Styela clava: one gene and its partners. The main gene of each other region encodes a partner of the protein of the gene in region 3 in a complex. Links are inferred from orthologs where the notes say so. Each region holds a gene or a part of one and is shown on either strand. Other genes may lie near its edges.

Region 1 (6,091 bases), on a different chromosome or scaffold from region 3:
CCCGTTGGATTCGAATCCTCCGGATTCGGTATTCTATATTGCCCATCCCTACCCTTGATCATAATGGGAGAACAGTAAGTTGGATTGATCAAGCCCTACGTACCTGTCAGACTAACTCGTAACCAGTCAAGCTCAAACATTAAAGTTTTGTTTGCTTAGTAGATGTTCTTGTTGTTGTATTATCAGACAATATGAATGGTATACAAAACTGGCATGGAAACTAAATTGTGAAACCCAATCTGGAAGTACAAAACATCCAAGATTTGAAAAACCATGTTAAATTTAGCAGTTTGTACCATGGCTTTATACAAAACTGGCATGGAAACTACATTGTGAAACCCAATCTGGGAGTACAAAACATCCAAGATTCGACAAACCATGTTAAATTTAGCAGTTTGTACCATGGCTTACTGTAAAACAGGCCCATAGGCATTCCCTTACGCTTATGGTATAGAAAGATACCTCAACAAAGAGGCTAATTCCAATTCCGCTTTCATGCTCAATATAAAATAAATATATCACAAGAAAAGCAGTTTTTATCATATTGTATTTCATCAGTCTTCTTCATAATCTAGATAGAAAAATTAATTTTAGATGAACTACAATTCCCCTACATATTCGCCAGTTCCCTCATATATTTATTCATGTAATGTCAGAATATAACATAGAGTTTTGCTTATATTTTTTCAAGCAGTCCCACGGCTCATAAAGCCTTTATTTCATGTTAAGACAATGCGTTTACAACAATATTCCAATACCAAATGGATCCAAAACATTGATCCTAAGCAATCATGGCCTTGAATATGGATGGGACTCTATTTTGACACCCGTAGCCGTTTGCATTTTCCCACCTCCTGGTGGTAGCTGAGTTGGGTTTCGAGACTGTTGTATTGAAATATCACGACCGTACGTTGAAGCTGCAATTAATTGTACAGTGTCATTCTGATTAAATGTTGGTTTTATATTTTTCATTTGCTGTTGATCGTTTTTCCAATTATGTAGAGAAAGTTTTATTCTTTCTAACATTTTATCACAACATTTGTTTAAGTTTTTGACGGCTGCATCATTACATACACTTGCTTCATTATTCATTTGACGTTCCGTTTGTTCGACCTCTGGATCAGGTTTGGTCCTTAGATAATCTGGGACAACGGCATGATTAAGATATAGCAATCTACCTTCCGTTAGATTAGCAAGATATTGGTCGTCATCCTGGCCCAAGCGTAATGGTATAATAGGATAATTTTGAAGAGGTGCTATTTTTTCAGCTTTCAATAAGTTGAAGAGTGAACTCATTTGACCCGATAACAGAGCATAACTATCCAAGACTGATGTCCAAGTAAGAGTTTCATGTTCGTGATCTATTTTTGCAATAAATTGTACCAAAGCATTTTTCAATTCTCGAGAACGATTCATGAGGGCTTCAACTGATTGCTCGAGCACTTTTTCTTCTATTCCTTGAGATTCCATGATATTATTTTTAGAAATAAGTGTTGCAGGCTGATAAATATAAACAGTACTCATTATAAATCTAAGATATCAATTTGCATAACTTCACATCATTTGATAATAAAAACTAGTCAAAAATCAAATACAGCCCTATCAGAAAATTTGAAACTGATTCTTATCACAAGCCACAACACAGTTTGATAAAAACACTAGTACAAGATGGAATACCGGTTTAAATAGACAGGTCTTATATAAAAAAGAAGTCTGTAAATGTTTGAATTAGGTAACTCACAAATCATGCTGAATATCGTTTAATTAAGGTACACAAAAAGATAATTTCAAATTTCATGCATAGAAATGGAGAGAACAAATCTTGATTTCTAAATGAACCGCATTGTAATATTGATAATAATTTGAAGAAATAATCTGCAGAGAAAACTCAATTGCAAAACAAATAAATTAGAAAATACTCAAGTTATAAATAATTTTTCAAAAAAGTCTAGAAGTACAGTATTCCAATACCGATGTGGAGAAATATGAGAATAGAATTTTTGTTAACAATATCAATATTAATAAACATCCATGATATATGGTATATTTGTTAGGTAACAAATAAAGATAAAAAAGTGCTCTGGGAATATATCAAGTACTGACTGACATTGCAAAATTCATATTGATAAAAATAATGCTGCGGTAACATGGTACAGTACAGTAACAATAATACTGTTCATCATTCATAAGGTATTAATAATCAAGTGATTAAAAATTTTACAGAAAAATTAAAAAAAATGATAACAAATTGATTTCGAAGAATCAAGTGCAATTTGCAAGAAGTTGCAATTTGTAAGAAAGAATTAGTTATATAATGATTGAATGAAAAAAGGACTTGTTCAAAACAATTTTAAAGCTTCAGAGTGTTGAATGTAATTTGAAATTTCATCGGAACATTTTAAAAACAGATTAGGCTATAGAGGATAATGGGCACATAACACAATACAGAGGTAAAACGACAAAAATTGTGAGAAAAATAATCAACTATATTTTATTATGAAATCTAACGCAAGGCAATTCTGTAGGTCTTGCGACTGGGAGTAATTTGTACTTTTTTGTATTGTTGACATCACCATCAATTTCCCATGTAAATTTTTCCAGTAACGTTTTTGTCAAACGCTGTAGGATATACTGAATGAGACGATGTCCGATACATACACGTTCCCCACCCCCAAAAGTAAATATAGAATTTGCTGATATAGTATTTCCCTGATTTAACCATCGATCTGGATTGAATTCATCAGGATTTTTAAACACATTCTTATCTCTATGGGCAAAATATGAGACATAAATTACAGCATAACCTTTTGGTATTTTATAGCCACCAATAGTCGTATCTTTATTTGCAATGCGTCGTCCTCCTAAAAACGGAGGCCATAATCTCTGAACTTCTAATAAAATTCTTGAAAGAAGTTGAGAATCTAATGCAGCACTCTCACGTAAATTAGCTCTTTCTTTCGCAGCCATTTCTAATATGAACGAAGTAATAATAGAAGAAAATGCTTTTGGAATAAGAGAGGATATGAAGAGTAAAATATGCTGTTCCATATTTTTATCCCTATTCATAAATGGCGCTTGAAGCATCTGTTGTATAACGTTGGACTTGTTAGGATTGACATAGGCATCGTTTTTGGATACTGATGCATCCAGTTTTGATGAACTATTATTCTTCTCTGCTGCTATCATTTTTCTAATATGAATAAGAAGTTTTTCTTTTGCTTCTATTGCTTTGCTCCAACCAGATTGACCAGCAAAAGGAATTTTAACACTAACAGGAAGGGATATAATGCCATGCCAATGCAATGTTGCCAACTCAGAAATAGATTTTGACCTTTCTGATGATGTATCTGAAAATCCAAGAAAAAATTTAAGACAGAATTTAGTCATCAGAGATTTAAATTCTTCATATACATTGACTAACTCTCCATTCGGTGGGAAATTTTCGAAAAACTTCCCAAAAAATTCCTCGATACTCGATTCATACTGTGTAATATTAGTGAATATAGGAGTGAGACAGTTCCTTAATAACTTTGCTGCTTCTCCATTTTCAAACAAAAGATTGTCTCCATAAGAATTGTAAAGAAATTCTCTATATCCATGATCGAAATCTCTCGATTTTTCATATAGAATTTCAGTTGTTTCTTGATGTGAACAAACAAATATAGTTGGTGTATTAACAAGTCTTGTTAGAAAGACTTTGGATGAGGTCTCAGATATTTTTGTGGTGATAAACAGTTCGGGGTCCCTGTAGAATTCCACCGACTTGTCGCCAAATATTGGGTATCCACATGATCCCGGAAGTTGAGACATGCCTCTATCAACTTACAGCATTTTCGAGTGTCTGTGTTTTGATCAGCTGATGGTAATCCCCGATATTATCGATATCTTTGCATGTTCTAATGTTTACTCTGAATGTTCTGTTAGATAATCAGATAATGAAAATATTGTAATCATACAGTCACGATACTACAGGTAACATTTACCAAATACTTAAATTTGCAAGCGGTCTTACTACTTTATATTCCCGTAAATAATTATTGCGTCTCATGTACTTTCTCACCTGAATAACTTCTAATGGGCGTGGCGTAACAATTTTTAAATATATGATTCCTGACCCCCACCTGATGACGTCATCAAAAAAATTACGTCACTGCGACGTCACAATAACGAAATACAGCTTGCCAAAGTATAGCGACGGTCTCCCGTAATGGCGCCCGCGAGTATGTTTACAAACTCTCAGCGACCTCTCTCGTATCGGGATCGTTGCGCAGAGCTCAAAATAAACAAGGATCACAAGGGACTAAATTGTCGCCATGGAACGTTCACGTTATCCCATTCCGAACAATTTTTTGTCCAGCAATAGCTCATGTATCGTGTTACAATCTGATAGGGCGTTATACGACACCACTCTAAGCAAGACTTTAGACAAGCAGAAAGGGCATATTAATTTACGCGATGGTTGAAGTTGGGTACCACACACATAAACCTTTGTTATTTTACCGTATGTCCAGCAATAGCTCATGTATGCTACAATCTATTAATAGGGTATTATACGATACCGCTCTAGGCAAGGCTTTAGACAAACAGAAAGAACATATTAATTGATGATTGAGGTTGGGTACGGCAAACATAAAGACTTGTTATTTATTATCCGGAGATTGATCATGTATTGTGCCACATTTTAATAGGACGTGGAATGTTTTCACTCTATGCAAGGCTTTATACAAGCAGAAACCGACGTATTAATTTGCTTTAACGATATGGGTGTAGTTTTCATACCTCAGTAACTTCTAGCGGGCTTAGCGTACCGGTAACAATTTTTGCATTTTCATTCATGAATAATTAAATGTAGAAATGCCATATGGCTCGCACGGAAATGCAGTTGGAAATATGTACCTTTTAGTCTTAAACTCAAATTTAGTCTTAAATATGTTGTCTTTCAGATCTTGATTGAAATTGAATAAAAATAGTACTTATATAAAGAATTTACTGTTTGTTTTGACTGGGGCTGTGGTGTGGAGTCGATAAAATTTACAGCAAACTTAGGCTTAGGCCATTTAGAATATGATTCTAACCCAGACTGGATTCCATGGCAGGTGCACGCCCGAGGGCGCTAGCGCTCCGCAAAAATGCACGCGAGCGAAATCAATTTTGCACGCCGAAAATTTGCAATTGCTCACCAATGTAAATCGGTTTAAATGGTTTTAAAATCAATAATCCAGTAATATAAAGATGCCAAAATATTATACCTCCACAATTGTCGACAAATACCAGCTTGCAAGATTTGGTCTGATCGAAATATTGCGAAGCAAAAAGACCATGGACCTTTCCCCAACCTTTGACCCGCGAAAAATTCCTCTCATTGTTACGTCCTTTTTTGCATCTTGCTGATTGGCCAATGTCACGAAGTAAACAAGGAAGTCGATGCTCGGGGAAAGGTCCATATCGTGTTGAATGATAGGAAATAGGAATCCCGTGAGAATAGTTATGGACGAAAAGATCGCCTCCGCACCAATGGCCAAGTACGGCTCTGATTCAGCGTATTTTTCATACAATAATTTTACACGAATGTACTGAACAGTACCGGTATCTAAAGTTGCTCAAACACTCCCAAAATTAGTGACAAAGTATGAAAATAATGTTTGGGGTCAAAGGTCAAACGTCCATTTTGCTCTAATTTGACGTATTTTTTATCCATTAATTCTACGTAAACACACTACCAAAATTAATGACAAAGTATGTCCATTTTGCTCTGGTTCAACGTATTTTTTATCCAATAATTTTACGCGGATGTACTGAACAGTACCGGTATCCAAAGTCGCACAAACACTCTCAAAATTAGCGACAAACTGTAGAAATAATGTTTGGGGTCAAAGGTCAAACGTCCATTTTTTCTCTGATACAACGTATTTTTTATCCGATACCGGTAATTTTACGCGGATGTATTGAGAGGTATCTGATGTCAAAGTCAGTTGCACGCGAGTGCAGTTGTTTTGCACGTCGTGAGCTATAATTGCACGCCAGGAATTCTTATTTGCACGCGGGAATTTCTGATTGCACGCCCGATTTCTCGTTCAAAAAGGCCATGAAA
Region 2 (7,246 bases), on a different chromosome or scaffold from region 3:
AAAGGTGTCGTAGTCGAATCTCCATAAATACTGTCAACTAGAGAGTTAATAGGTCCGTTGAAAAGTTCTGTTGTCGTGCTACAAGCGTTACATATCAGAGCGATCGCATAGTCTTGCAAACTGTTGTTCTTTGATTCCAAACAACGCTGCAAATACTCGTGGTGTTTTTGTAATGATACTGGTATCGCACAATGTTGAAATTGTGCAGTTTTGGACGTGGTGCTAATAGACCCCGAAGAGCTGTTAGAACTTGCATTTTCTTGTTGTTGATTATCACTCTGGGCTTTCCTGTTCAAATGCATTAAAATGCAAATTGCAGCAAACTTATGTGTGCTGAACGGCTTCGTTATATCAGGTTCTGGAAGAGGTTGACGTTCAGAATACAACAAATTCATCAACTTTATAATCGGAAGAAAATCGCTGAGTGGATTTTTTTGAATGCTTCCTGAAATAAATTGAAGCAAGACCCACATTAAATGATCACGTCCATTTTTGACATTTCTTGATGAAAGTTTCTGATAAAAATTTTCAACCATTCTTGGGAAAACTGCGAATTGCAAAAGAACAAAGTAGATCACCTGACTTGATAAATGTTGCCATTGTAAATGTATTATACGATAAGCATCGTCCTTTTCATCTAAATTTTCGATTTCACTAGTTCGTTCCATTGTGCTGACAACTAAATCAACCAGTTCTGTTTCTAACGCTTCGCATCTTTGCTTTTGCTGTTTTTGAAGATTCAGAACATGACACACCATATCTCTTGAATACGGCTGCTCAAGAATGTATCTCAAGAGCTTCGTTTGGCGTTGATATAAACTTCTATCATACGGAAGTTGTCCTTTCGTTGTGAATCTCAAAGTCTCATGATCAAGTTTCCAAGTGGTCGTTAACGGAACAGAAAAATGAAAAACAACCGGCAAAAGATGTGACCGTCCTGTTGTGGAAACCATGGTCGCCGTTGCACGAAATCTGTCTACAAACTCCGCGACTTTCCCTGATAGACTCCAATGACCGGATGGTTGGTCCTCCCCAGAATATTGACGAATCTCATTAACGGCTAAATACCCTGGTAATAGACAAGCTTCTGGATCCAATAGGTATTCAATTACATCAATTATAGCATTCATTTGTTCTGTCATTTCAGACCAAGAGGTTGTCGGTACATTTTTCAACTTCAACAGAACTAGATGCAGAATATCACGACATCCTTTATATTCAATTAAATGAATATATTCCTTTAAAATTTCAAACGTTTTGCACCAATGAACACGACGATTATGTTTCAACATTTCATGAGGAATTAAACGCTGCAGAACTGTTTTGGTAGGTAGTATCGAATCCTTCAAACAAATTTTGATCATGTCCGCTACAAAATTTATGTGACGTAAAACAGTTTGTTTATGGAAAAAATTCAACAAACCAGACACACAATCTTCGGGCGCAATCTCTCGGGTCATTTCTTGAAATTGAGAAAGGCATGCACGGAGCCGTTTGTCATGGTCTTCTGGAGTTAAACGAACAAATCCAGCAAAAACATTCACTATTGTATCTGTCTTCAATGCGTCGTCGAAAACTTTTTCAAGTCTACTATCAATAGACATGTTGATTCCCTTGTTTAGAAAAAATTCATTGAATGGAAAATTTTCAGCAAAAGTCGGACATTACTTAAATCCAATATACAGTAAATAATGGCTCTATAAGTATTACTGAAATATCAATTGGATTATTTTATATAGGCCTATTAAATGTCTTGGTAAGAATTACTACAGTATTGATTACAGAAAAAGAATGACATTAATGTGGCAATTAAAAGAAGCGCTAATATAGTAGTACAATACGACACAATATCCAAATTCCTAGAATTTCCCTCCAATTTGTTCAATAAAACATACACTCCATGTGTCTCACAAAAGAGGGCACCACGTCGGATGCGTCATATCACGCCATGCTTGTCTCAATAGTAATCTAAATTAATCGCGGCCGCCATGTGACCAAAATTGCCATTTTTCGCTAAAAACTCTCGAATGCCACGGTAAAAAACTTTTTCCCTTCGGTAAATTGGATTATTTTTTCCAGAGAAATTCAATGATGACGTTTTTAGATTGCGCTTTTTTGTAGTATTTTGCGCCAACTTCATTATACTGCATTTTTACCGATATTGAGGGACAACAATGTCCAGACGTCTGCCAAAGGAGGACTGTCTGATCATCGGTAAAATGGGTTTCTCTGAAACAGGACAATGTCACTCGATTTGTATAGTGTGCTGTACTGTAGTGACATAAATTTGCTTGAATGATTTATTGAATAAGCTAATAGTAGGCTGTTCAAAATTTAAATATCCTGCGACGCCAAAACCAAATTAAATGGTTCTTCCAAATTGAATTAAATATTAAACTAGACGAGTATTTTAATTTAAAAAATCCAGTTATCATACAGATAAATTAGAATTCCGACAATTTCAATCAAATAAATTATACATGAAGTTCTGCACAGTACTGCAGTATTTAACAAAGTGTTAATCGATAAATTAACATAGGAACAGGACTTGAAAATGTATCCAAAGCGAAATTCAAAATGTTTACAAACTTTTTCATGAACTGGCCGACGATATCAAACTTCTAAAAATTGATTCAATATCGATATGATAAATAAAAATACTAAGCACTAAAACTTGGAATGTAGCAGAAAACTTTGAATAAAAAGCAACATAGTAGGATGTATAAACTTATCAGATCAAATTTAATTAGTGTGGCCACAAGTTACATTGTCCACTGTTTAGAAATGAAATACTGCAAACCACACTTGAGATGTGGATGAGAGACATGTACGTACACTGCAGCACTGCCAACAACTCAGGATTTGAAAACAAATTTGAATGAAATTCAGTCACAACATTTATTTTCAAATCACATTTTTGTTTGTTGTTATTTAGGCACTTACTTGCGTTAACTATTTAAGACCTGTAGACCCCAAACTTGTTCACAACTTACTTGATGATAAAATATATTACAAGACTGCAAGAGGAGCCAAGTTTAAATTGCTGAATAGTCTTGTCTAGGAGGCGCGGCGGTGTGGCTCAACGGGCGAGTGGGAGTGGTGAATCCTCTGCGGCCCATGGGCCGGGGCCACGGCCCATCGAATTGGGCCTCGGCCCATCAGGCTATGGGCCGCGGCCCATCAAGTTGTGTAAAGAAACTATTCACTTGGCTAACACAGACAGTCCCCGAACTCATAATAGAACTATAATGTAAAAAAATCTGAATTTTTCTTGTCCTAACCCTAACCTGGTACACATACTACAGGAGTATATTTTTTTGGTTTGAATATTGACAATTTGGTAAAAATTGAAAATTTTGTTAAAATAATTGAATTTTTCTTGATGGGGCTGCGGCCCATCAAGCTATGGGCCACGGCCCATGTGGCCCAATTAGATGGGTCGTGGCCCTGGCCCATGGGCCGTAGAGGAGTCACCACTCCTGTAGCAACGGGCTAAGCGTTAGGAATACGCTCGTGACCGCACCTCTAATTACTCTGCGTGGGTTCGAATCCCATGCAGGGATGGTTATGTGCGAGAGGATTGCTGGACTCCTCGCCGTCGTTGGGTGGTTCATGTAACCGCTGGTCGGTTATGGCTTCCTCCAGCACCAAGTCCATGCTTCCGAAAACAAACAATACGGTAAAACTAATCCCATACCTGACTTGGAATGGTAACCGGACGTGAGGCCGTGGTTCGCCATATGGATAAGCCGTCTTATCAGCTTTCCTCTCCCCCGGGATGAATATGTAAATCCTATCCTATCCTAGTTACCGGTATAGAAAGCAATAAACGAACTTCCACAAGAGTCTATGGTTGAGCCAAATAAGATAATTCACTATGAAAACGATTCCAAGTTACTAAGCAATTAGGTAAACTACCCGTCCCATAATAAAATATATAAATACACAATACAAAACACACAATGGCAAATATTTAAATCCAATTTGCCCATCTTCTCTAAATGTCCAACTTCATTTACTTCCATGTTTGATCCATGTTTCCAGGGTTGATCACTATGATGCACAAAGATCAAAACGTATTTTGAATTCGGCTGTGGTTTTGCTCTGCTGATTTGTATATACTGTAAGTTTTATACGCTTACTTAGTATGATATAATAAGTATACCGTACTGTTTATATCATTTAAAATATTTTTTTAATGTCAACTTTTCCAAACTTTATAAAAAAAATAAGAGAGGGAACATTTATTTTAACCGTGTAGGAATAATTTGCTAATTAGTGGGGCGTGACGACAAATATTAGCGACCTCTAGCGAGTTGTTTTGCCTCATTTTTATCGTCAGCAGGTGACACACTTGAGCTTTTCGTTATTGATTTGTTGCCAGAATTTTCTTCTCATTTCGTAAAAGAACAACTTATTTTTATTCTACTATTTTGTGTAAATTGAAGGATAAAAATACATAGTGTAATATTATAATAATTTTTATATATAAAATTGTTTAATGAACATATATTCCATTACTTTATTAGATATTAATTTCCTTTTGAGTATTTCCAATTATCAGGTCTGGCAATTGTAGATCAATAGGAGAAATGCCGATTCACCGGTGTTGTTTTTCTATTTGCTCGTCGGCATTTCTACATTTGCAGCGATGCAGCTTTATTAAATTCCACTGTTGTCGAGTATACTGGTAGAAGGAAGCATTGCATAGAAGACTGCAATACAATTCTGGAAGGTTCAGTTCTTCGTATTCTAAGGTGAGAATAATTCATCAGTATGCTAGATGTCAAAATACGGTTCTGATTCTGTAATAGACTAAGTTTTATTTTTTTGTTTTGTTTTTATCGTCTTTTATGCTGATTGTGGAGTAAAAATTGTCTTATACCATTATACTCCACTTCTTTACTGGGTATGTTTAGATGGTAGGATATGGTATGAACCACAATTTTTTTCCTAATTTCGATAGATGATATTTTCGATTTCGTGGAATCACTACGGTTTTATATTTCAGGTATTCGTGTGTGCTGTGTATGCAACATTTGTCAAGGTGCCTTGAACCTATAATACTGTGATTCATTGATGCTTTGTGTATGATTGCTGCTCAAAATTTTAGATTTGGTAGATAAATCAACTTTTCTGATTGACTAATTGTATTGCAGTATAGTAGATACTGAGATACGGTACTTTCAAATGAGGCTTCAAGGCTTATCTATAGGGCTTTATATTTATTTATTCTTTGACTTGCATTTTAAGTCAATAGTTTTAAAACATTGAAAATACACCTTGTATGAACAAACAATGTTAAAATGACATTTAAGGGTACAAAGAGGCACCAATCTTACTTTTGAGAAACTTACATTTACATTCACAGTATTTGTTGTATGGTTAATTGAATTTAAATTGTTACCAAATAAACCATTTATGAAAGTCTTTTAATATATATCATATATTTCTTGTTTTTGGTATGAACAACCTTATCATTTTTTGATTGTTCATATTCTTTCTTTGTAGAGATGGATATGTAAATGACTGCAATGGATTACAAGTCTCTTCAATATGTTTCTTTTCTTCGAGAGAAGATTGAAGATTATATCATGGCAGCTGAGCTTAACAATGTAAGTGAATATTCCTTTTATAACAATGGAAATAATATAATGCAATATTTGTAGAGTTTGTAAGTGATGGCTTACAATTTTTTAGGATGTCAAACTCGTTTTATTTTTTGGATAGCTTTTCATACTTGCAATGGTATGGATAAACTTCTGACTACATTTTTCGCCAGACGCCAGACTTAGAATGTGTGAAATTATAATGGGCTGTTACCATTTTATTACCTCACACATCTGATCTTTGACACATTGTATATACCGAGTTCATTTTCTTTAATCACCTAGTCTTTTGTAAAATCTGTTTAGGGAATCGACAGCTTAATGATAGTAAAATTCTACATCCAACTTCATCTATATTGTAACTTATCTACAAGATAGTTCAGAGTATATTTAAAAAAAGCCATAATATTTTATTAAAATCTTTTTTTTTTTGTTCACAAAGTCTTGCCGCAATTTTGCTTTTCTCTTTTCACATTCAAGTCATGCTTTAATTACTGTGAGATTCACTAAAGTTTCAAACACTATTCCGCAGTCAAACACCATTTATTTAATATCAATCCATGATTCCGAAAACAAATAACTGACTAATCTGATATCCGACATGGACTGGTAATCAGACGAGAGGATGTGGTTTGCCATATGATTAAGCCGTCTTATCAGCTTTCCTCTCCCCCAGGATAAATATGTTAATCTTATCCCATCTTGTGGTGAATGTCACAATTCATATGGAGGCGTGTCAATGATGTTCTTTTAGCACGTCACACAATTCTCAATATCTGTTCACTTATTAATCATCAAATCTATGCTATAAATATCTAAGTGGGCGTATCACTGGGCGTTTTCTGATGATGGCACTCCTCTTATTATTGAACAATGACCTTATTGACCTTGAGATATTCCTTCTTTGGTTAACCTATTAGCTTACTGTCAGCATGTCGATTTGTCCTCTAAGGAGGATGCTATTCAAATTGAATTGGGTCCATACGACCATTCCTTCAACTAACTGTTTATTGTAATCCGTCATCATCAAATTTACTCTATATTTTTAAACAACATAATAACATGATTTTGTCCTAATTTTGTTTTAATTTCATAATGTTAACGACCACTACTAGAAAGTATATTTGAAGTTGAATTCAAGCTTGACTACTAGTTTTGATTTATTTTAAACTTATCTTGGTTTTTCTGTGGCAGAGCCTTATTTGTTGCAAACACCGGTAGGTCATAATTGTGGTTGACACAACTTATTTACATGTTTTCTAATGCATTACATTAGTTCATGATATGTTTTCTGTTTCACTCTGGACAGGTTGACATTGTGGGCACTGGCAATAAAGTGAGCAGTGGTTCTCAATATTTTATGGCAGTCATGTCCCTCAGTTTATCATTCCAGTGGTATGTCATTTTGATTGGTAGATTCCAAATCCCATTATGTTTGAGCAATTTATGCTTAACAAAGTGAAAACACCCTGTGAAATCTCTTATCAAACAATGAAACTAGGAAGAATGGGGAGTTTTCTTATGAATGAAAAATAAAATTAATTTTGCGCCAGCATTGTGTCCTCCCCCCCCCTCCCCAACTGTAAATACCTATATTTTTACTCTGTGGCGCCCTTAGGGACTGCTGAAGTGGGGCC
Region 3 (6,813 bases):
GAAAGCCAAATAATTTCATCTCCGCGTATTTTATCTTTTCCCGCTTGCTTGATCACTTCACCCGGTTTAAATTTATCGGGTTGCGAATATAAAGACATTGCATCAGCCAGACACAAATCCGCTCTATTTTCATCCACAAACGTATCGATGACGCATATTCCCCTCTGAACTAAGTTTTTATGACATCGAGCAACAATTCCTTCATCCCTTTTTGTGTAACTATCATATGGGTTAAGAGGAATAGAATTCTGTGCCACACGACCTTCTGTTTCTAAATTCATTGATTTGATCTTTTGTGCGACTTCATCTATTGTGGAATTCTCATTTTGTTCTTCAGAATTTTCAGTGCTGTCTGTCTTGCCCGATTGTTTTTTACAATCTTTTTTATGCACTTTCCAATGTTGTGTTTGGTGTTCACGCCCACAATATTCTACACTTCCACATCGACTACAGGACTTCAAATTGTCAAGCTTATCGCAAACAGCACAAGTTGGCATCTTATTATAGTGAACAAACAATATTTCTGCAAATAAGGTTATCAAGCTCATAAATTGATGATGGTAGAAAATTGAGATAAATTCATAAAATAGCAATTGTATGAAAACTTATAATCAGACTGATTTTCTTTCCACAATATCATCAATTTGGGTTGTGTAAAATTATTTCGATACTTTATTGAGAAGTAGTAATAAGTAGATGGGAATATTTGAATAGCGTATAAATATGCTAGTTAAACAAAGCATCGTGACCATGACTGTCATCGTACTGTCACTATGTCAATATATCTAAAGAGCAATCAAGTTGGTTTCAAAAGTTTATGTAAACCTACATAACATACACATCGTACAGGCATGGATTTAAAAATGAACAAATATAAAATGAAATCACTGGTTAAAGCGCTGGGCATAACTAGGTTGAACATCCCATGTTGAAGTCACATGCCTATCATCTCACGCAGGGTGTATTGAACTGGGATCCCTGTACATGGCAACGTTCATAGTAAAAATGGCAATACAAAAATATTACATGTCAAAATTAACCGAATGTTTTGCAAAATCCTTTTATTAAATCATCTTCCCATGGATATGAATAACATTTTTGTTTAGAAGAAAGTATTAAATTAGCAGACATATATACCAAATATTTAATAAAATAAAAACTTATCAGTAAACTTTTTAGAGCGATGACGCCAAAGCTAATTTTCAAAGTTTAAACCAAATTAGTTGAAAATGGCATTATTTTCAATTATTTGTTTAATGTTGAACAAGACGATAAGAAACTTCATTCTCCATAATAAAAATAGGAAATCAATTCTCATCTACTATTTTGGAGGGACAGGTTCTGAAAGTTCTGGTAATATTAAAATATTTGATATTTCATACTTTATAACTCATTGCAACTCCAATGTTACAAATACACGAAACAGACCAACGGAATATAAAATCCCAATTCATGATGTAACTTTGCGAAAATTATTGAAAACTTCTATGTATTGTAAAGATGTATGTTCCGCTGTATATATTATGTCAGTTGATTTCAATTTTTGAAAAAGTGGATTTTCCGATGTAGGAGCTTGGGGTCCCAGAATATTTTGAAAAATCTCTAAAAGCAAATTCCAACATTCTTTAACATAAAGGCACGGAGTGTACTCTATCTCAACAGCAATTCCTCTTGTATTTGACCCATGAGTAACTACTCCAATTTTGAATAAAAAATCATTGAGAATATACCGATGTCCTTTGCACTCAATCTTTGCCCCTTTGCGCTGTTGCCAAAACAATCTCATCTTAACTAAAAAATTTGGTAGCATTGCATCTGCGATTAGTGAAGCACCATCTTCAAAAAGTGCAAATTTTGACAATGGGTATTCCGAGTTGGATATTATGTTTAGAGGTTTTCCTTGATTAATGTTCACTGTTTGATATGTTTCACATTCCACGCAAAATAATCCTGATTTTTTAGCTCCAATTTTTTCAATTGTCCGTTGAAGTTCTTCTAATGATTGTGGAACATTTTTTCCTTCCTCAATATCCCAATGGGTTACAAATGTAACTCCCATACTGCCAGATTATATAATATCTCAACTTTATTTTAGCATGAATGCGTTAATTTAAATCAGCTTGTACATATACAGAAAGAAGTATTGATACAAACAACAAGAAAATGCAGACCTGCATGACAAAAAGTGGTATAGTAGAGTATATTTCACAAAATTCTACAATGCTACTTCAATGTGAAAATGAATTTTGTCACAAAAAATGATATCTACAAAATTTTGGGGTCTGCAATCTGCTTTCAACTTATCAAAAATATTACAAAGTTATTCATTGTTTATGGAAAAATTTTCCCCTTATACCACTAGAGCAGGGTGGTCCAAGGTTGTCGGCCTCGCGGGCCACAATAGTGCCTAGAGTATACAGTGCAATACAAAACACACACTTCTATTGTCCAAACACATTGATCATTATTAGTCATTTATCAAGCTAAAACGTACAAAAACCACCAAAAAAAACTTACTAAAACTTGCACAAATCTTACTAGACTAGTCTATATCTACATTTAGTGTAAAATTTCAAACTTTTCATAACGAAGAAAATGTCGTTTTAGATCATCAGTCATCACCGACACAACTTGCAGACATATTGGGCAAGTATTATGGTATGGTACCGGTATCCCATATCCAGTCAAAAAATCTGTTTGAATTGGTCAGCATTCTTTTCAAACTCATGTTTACAAAATAATTTACAAATAACAGCAGATTGATTGATTACTGAATTTCACCAAATTTGGGATACATTAGGATAATTACTAAATTTCAAAAAAGATCCGACAGGAATTATATTCAGTTACATGCGTAGCCAACCTAGGCTTATAGATTCTTTATATTCGATTTTTACTTTTCTACGAAGCTTATTTTGTTAGCATATATTCCCGAACAAAAAAATGGAAAGCCAGATAAATATTTAGTCTACCTAAGCACATAAATTAACCACGCTAGCTGCTTCAGCTAGCCATAACACTACTCAATTCAGTGACTTTAAAATATTTTTTGGTTATTTTCAAGATGAAACAACTCCAAGTGCAATTTTTTGTTTCCCTTCGCGCAAATGAGTCGCGGGCCACGGATAATGACGCGGCGGCCCACATGTGGCCCGCCGGCCTGGGTTTGGACCACCCTGTACTAGAGGGTAGTAGGCCCTATCACTTATTAAAATATGTCGGTTTATTACGCACTTTATCCAGTTGTGGGATTCATCCTGTTCGCACTGGTTCTATAGAACCGTCTCACGGAATTTTGAGATCAGCAAACCGGTTAGCATTGCTGGTTACTGTCAATGGATTTTTGCAAATTATCTGACACACCGATTTTTGAGATCAAGTAGCTCACGTGTGTGTAGTTTTTTCAAAATGTGAAATGATCAAGTTCGCACGTAAATTGGACACGTTGGTGCACATAACGATCGTTTTGCAATTTTTGTTGTTCTTGTTGGACAAGTTAGTGAACATAACGATCGTTTTAATATTATGTTGTTGTTGTTCTTTGACACTTTTGGACACCTTGTGGAAAACGTAAAAAGTCGCTTTTCTTTTTGATTACTGGACCAATTGCTCTTTTCAGTGGTTAAAGATAAAAAAATTCTTTAGAAGGCTATTACATTCATCTATTTCAAATATTCTTGATAGCACTGTGGGATTCGTTTTTATGACACGTATTGGATTTGTTTTTGTGCTGTCACTCTTTTTGTTGTTCTTTTGATCACGCTCATGGAACGTCGGTGGTGTGGAACGAAATTCCTGCTTTGTCAAGCGTAGGTACCGGTAGCGTCAAAGGTACGGTGAGCTGACTTGGATGACCGTATGGTCGTGTAGCGAATGTGCATTGTGTAACTATGTATTATAATGTATTTAACCCGTTCATATTAATAGCATGTAATATTTCACAAAATAAGCCGCATTATGTTTGCTATGTATTGCCTTTCTCGTTTCGACCAATTTGATAACGTATCGTTTCCGGTTTGCCGAGAATGCTCTATAATATTGTGTTTTTTTGTTTCACTCGATATATGACTTGTGATCTGACCGTAAACCTTTCGATTTATCCACACCCTATTAAGGAAACTCGATTTCGACGCACGTTGCAAATGGTATATGGCAGTGGTTCTTAAACTTTTTCGAGCGCGACCCAAATCTGAGTTTTATGAATACTCGCGACCCAATCCTAAATAACGCAAAATGTGTTTTTAATGTTAGTACAGTTTGACTCAAATACAGACAACTATTTATTAGAAACAGTCCATTGACTCAGTGAGATTGATGAAACTGAAATTTCCTTTTCATTATATCTTCAATACACAGCTCTATTTTACATAACGCAATACGCAAGTTGTCACGGGTATCGAGGCGATTGCGAGCTTAGTTTTGATAACCGTCAGTGCCAAATATCCTCGCTCGCACAAGTGCCTTGTCGCGAATTGTAGCAGAAAGGCGTCCGCTGTCCGTCGCAAACACGACATCCTAGCTGGCCTTCGGTATCTCTCGCAATATACAACTTTTTACTCATCAAATGTGCACACACCGCTTCGTTCGCGGTAAATGGTGCCTCGAGATGAAGTCACATTTTCTCTAGATATTGAATAATCTAATGTCGAGAAGCGAGCTTTTTCATTGCGTCGTCTATTACAATTTACAATACCAAAAAGACACCCATTTTTGGTTATTTTAATCCACTAAGACGACATTCCACGCGGTCAACACAACGTTGCATGGTTACCGATACCATGAAAATAATACACGTGACTGGCATATCAGAATTGTGATGTAACAATGAGCTCAAGACAGTTCTTTCCGTGAATGAAATTTTATATTCCATTATTTTTAAATACCAGAGTTTAGAAGCTAAATTGAAACATTGGGAAATCTGAAAATTCGTCCGTCTCCTCTTAGATTGCCCTTGCATTAACGACCTTGTCGCGACCCATTTTTAAACCTTCCGCGACCCATGTTTGGGTCGCGACCCATGCTTTAAGAACCACTGGTATATGGTGTGTAACTCGCAATGTATCGCTTCGTTATTACTTATTTTCATTTTATCAATTTAATCGTCTTGTATTTTATTATCTTTTTTCTTATTATTATCCATCATAAACATAAAAACACCTCACTATAAAAATATAAATATTACAAAACCATCAAAATAAAAATTTTGCGTATTCTCATTTCTTTTGTGTGTATTTCCTTGTTACTAATCAATTGTTGTTTTTAGATATCATGAGTCTTTTACTTCATACAGAATTTGATCCAGGTTCAATCTCAAGGATTCAATGGTTCAATAATTCTTCAAATCACTCATTATTCAATTTTCAGGATTTTTCTTCCTTATTATTTTGTTCAAGTTACCTCTAACATCAATTTTACGACCTTAAACATCTAATCAATTTCAATGCAATTTTTAGGACGAAACCCGCCATTTTATTCATTCTCAGTCTCTTCATTAAACATCAGAACCGTTTTACATTTTAAGGTGTCTCTTCCGGTACATCGTCGCCATTTTGTTTCAATGTATCGTTACAATTTCATTTTCAAATGTTAAACATTTCAAAGCACCACGGAGACCCTTTGAAATTTTTTTGTATTTTTGATTTTTTTTCTCTCACGTATTTTCTTGCTCTTGTAAACGACGTATATTCTCCCGTATACCTTAGCCATTATTCATCATATCGTACCTTTTATTGATTCGTGTTTTTTGTGTTTTTAGACTTTCATCTCTCGGCGACCGGACTACAAAATTTAAAAAATTACCAAGTTAATTTTTTTTACTGTCGAGGGGGAATTGTGTAGCGAATGTGCATTGTGTAACTATGGATTATAATGTATTTAACCCTTTCATATTAATAGCATGTAATATTTCACAAAATAGGCCGCATTATGTTTCGCAACAGCGATAATGCATTCGCTCCATGTATTGCCTTTCTCGTTTCGACCAATTTGATAACGTATCGTTTCCGGTTTGCCGAGAATGCTCTATAATATTGTGTTTTTTTGTTTCACTTGATATATGACTTGTGATCTGACCGTAATATTACTGCATTAAGAATTAAGTGTTTACAATTTTATCTGTATTTGGAATTTGGATCGTGCATCTTTTCAATAATATACAACATGTCGACAATCATCATCGTGTGCTTATTATCGTCTGAGGGAATCCAGATTGGAGTCACATTCCATAACACGTGAAATTAATAACGTGGGAATCGAACTTTGAATATTAGGGTGAACAGTCTTTATCCCTAAGACCGCACCACATCTCCCTATAGTCGTATCGCTCCCTCCAGTCTTTACCATAAACAGTGTTTATTTATTTGTATTTATGCTTTCATATTTATATTTGTTTTGGTTGACGAATCAATAAATCTCTCTCTTTCTCTCATCAGTACGTTTCCAAGGGCTCAAAATCTGACAAATCATGGGGCTTTCGTACGTAAAATTGTTGGCTTTTTCTGCTGGCTTTTTTATGTCTTGATTTGGCTTTTTTTGATCGCTGGAGTCTGGGAACCCTGGTCCTGGTGCAAAATGTAAATAGAAAAAATTGTACCATTGGTCAATATTTCCCAGTCTATTAGGTCTGTGTGACATGAAATATTGTTTATTGTTCTTGAATTATTTTTCATTTGGATTATTCACCACACTTCATGAAATGTGTTTGTTAGCGAATATGTATGCTTTATATTACATTATTCGTCGTGGATGAGAGAACACGCTCATGGCAAAACGGCACAAGCTCATGGCAAAACGACTGCTTTGCTTTGATTAACG

The links. The genes of interacting proteins can lie anywhere in the genome.
Region 1: mediator of RNA polymerase II transcription subunit 20-like (region 3) and mediator of RNA polymerase II transcription subunit 8-like share a complex: the UniProt entries of both Drosophila melanogaster proteins name them as parts of the mediator complex. The link is inferred for Styela clava from reciprocal best matches to the Drosophila melanogaster genes MED20 and MED8.
Region 2: mediator of RNA polymerase II transcription subunit 20-like (region 3) and mediator of RNA polymerase II transcription subunit 23-like share a complex: the UniProt entries of both Drosophila melanogaster proteins name them as parts of the mediator complex. The link is inferred for Styela clava from reciprocal best matches to the Drosophila melanogaster genes MED20 and MED23.

What each region holds. Positions count from the first base shown.
Region 1 is NC_135258.1:9,744,492-9,750,582, forward strand, and holds mediator of RNA polymerase II transcription subunit 8-like, read right to left. Parts: upstream 1,527-6,091; 5' UTR 1,525-1,526; coding exon 790-1,524; 3' UTR 531-789; downstream 1-530. Other genes in the region: cytochrome P450 26B1-like, read right to left, coding at 2,485-3,810. UniProt on the Drosophila melanogaster protein: Component of the Mediator complex, a coactivator involved in the regulated transcription of nearly all RNA polymerase II-dependent genes.
Region 2 is NC_135256.1:5,125,467-5,132,712, forward strand, and holds the start of mediator of RNA polymerase II transcription subunit 23-like, read right to left. Parts: upstream 3,031-7,246; 5' UTR 1,605-3,030; coding exon 1-1,604. UniProt on the Drosophila melanogaster protein: Component of the Mediator complex, a coactivator involved in the regulated transcription of nearly all RNA polymerase II-dependent genes.
Region 3 is NC_135251.1:21,685,092-21,691,904, forward strand, and holds mediator of RNA polymerase II transcription subunit 20-like, read right to left. Parts: upstream 2,799-6,813; 5' UTR 2,060-2,798; coding exon 1,451-2,059; 3' UTR 549-1,450; downstream 1-548. Other genes in the region: prolyl hydroxylase EGLN3-like, read right to left, coding at 1-548. UniProt on the Drosophila melanogaster protein: Component of the Mediator complex, a coactivator involved in the regulated transcription of nearly all RNA polymerase II-dependent genes.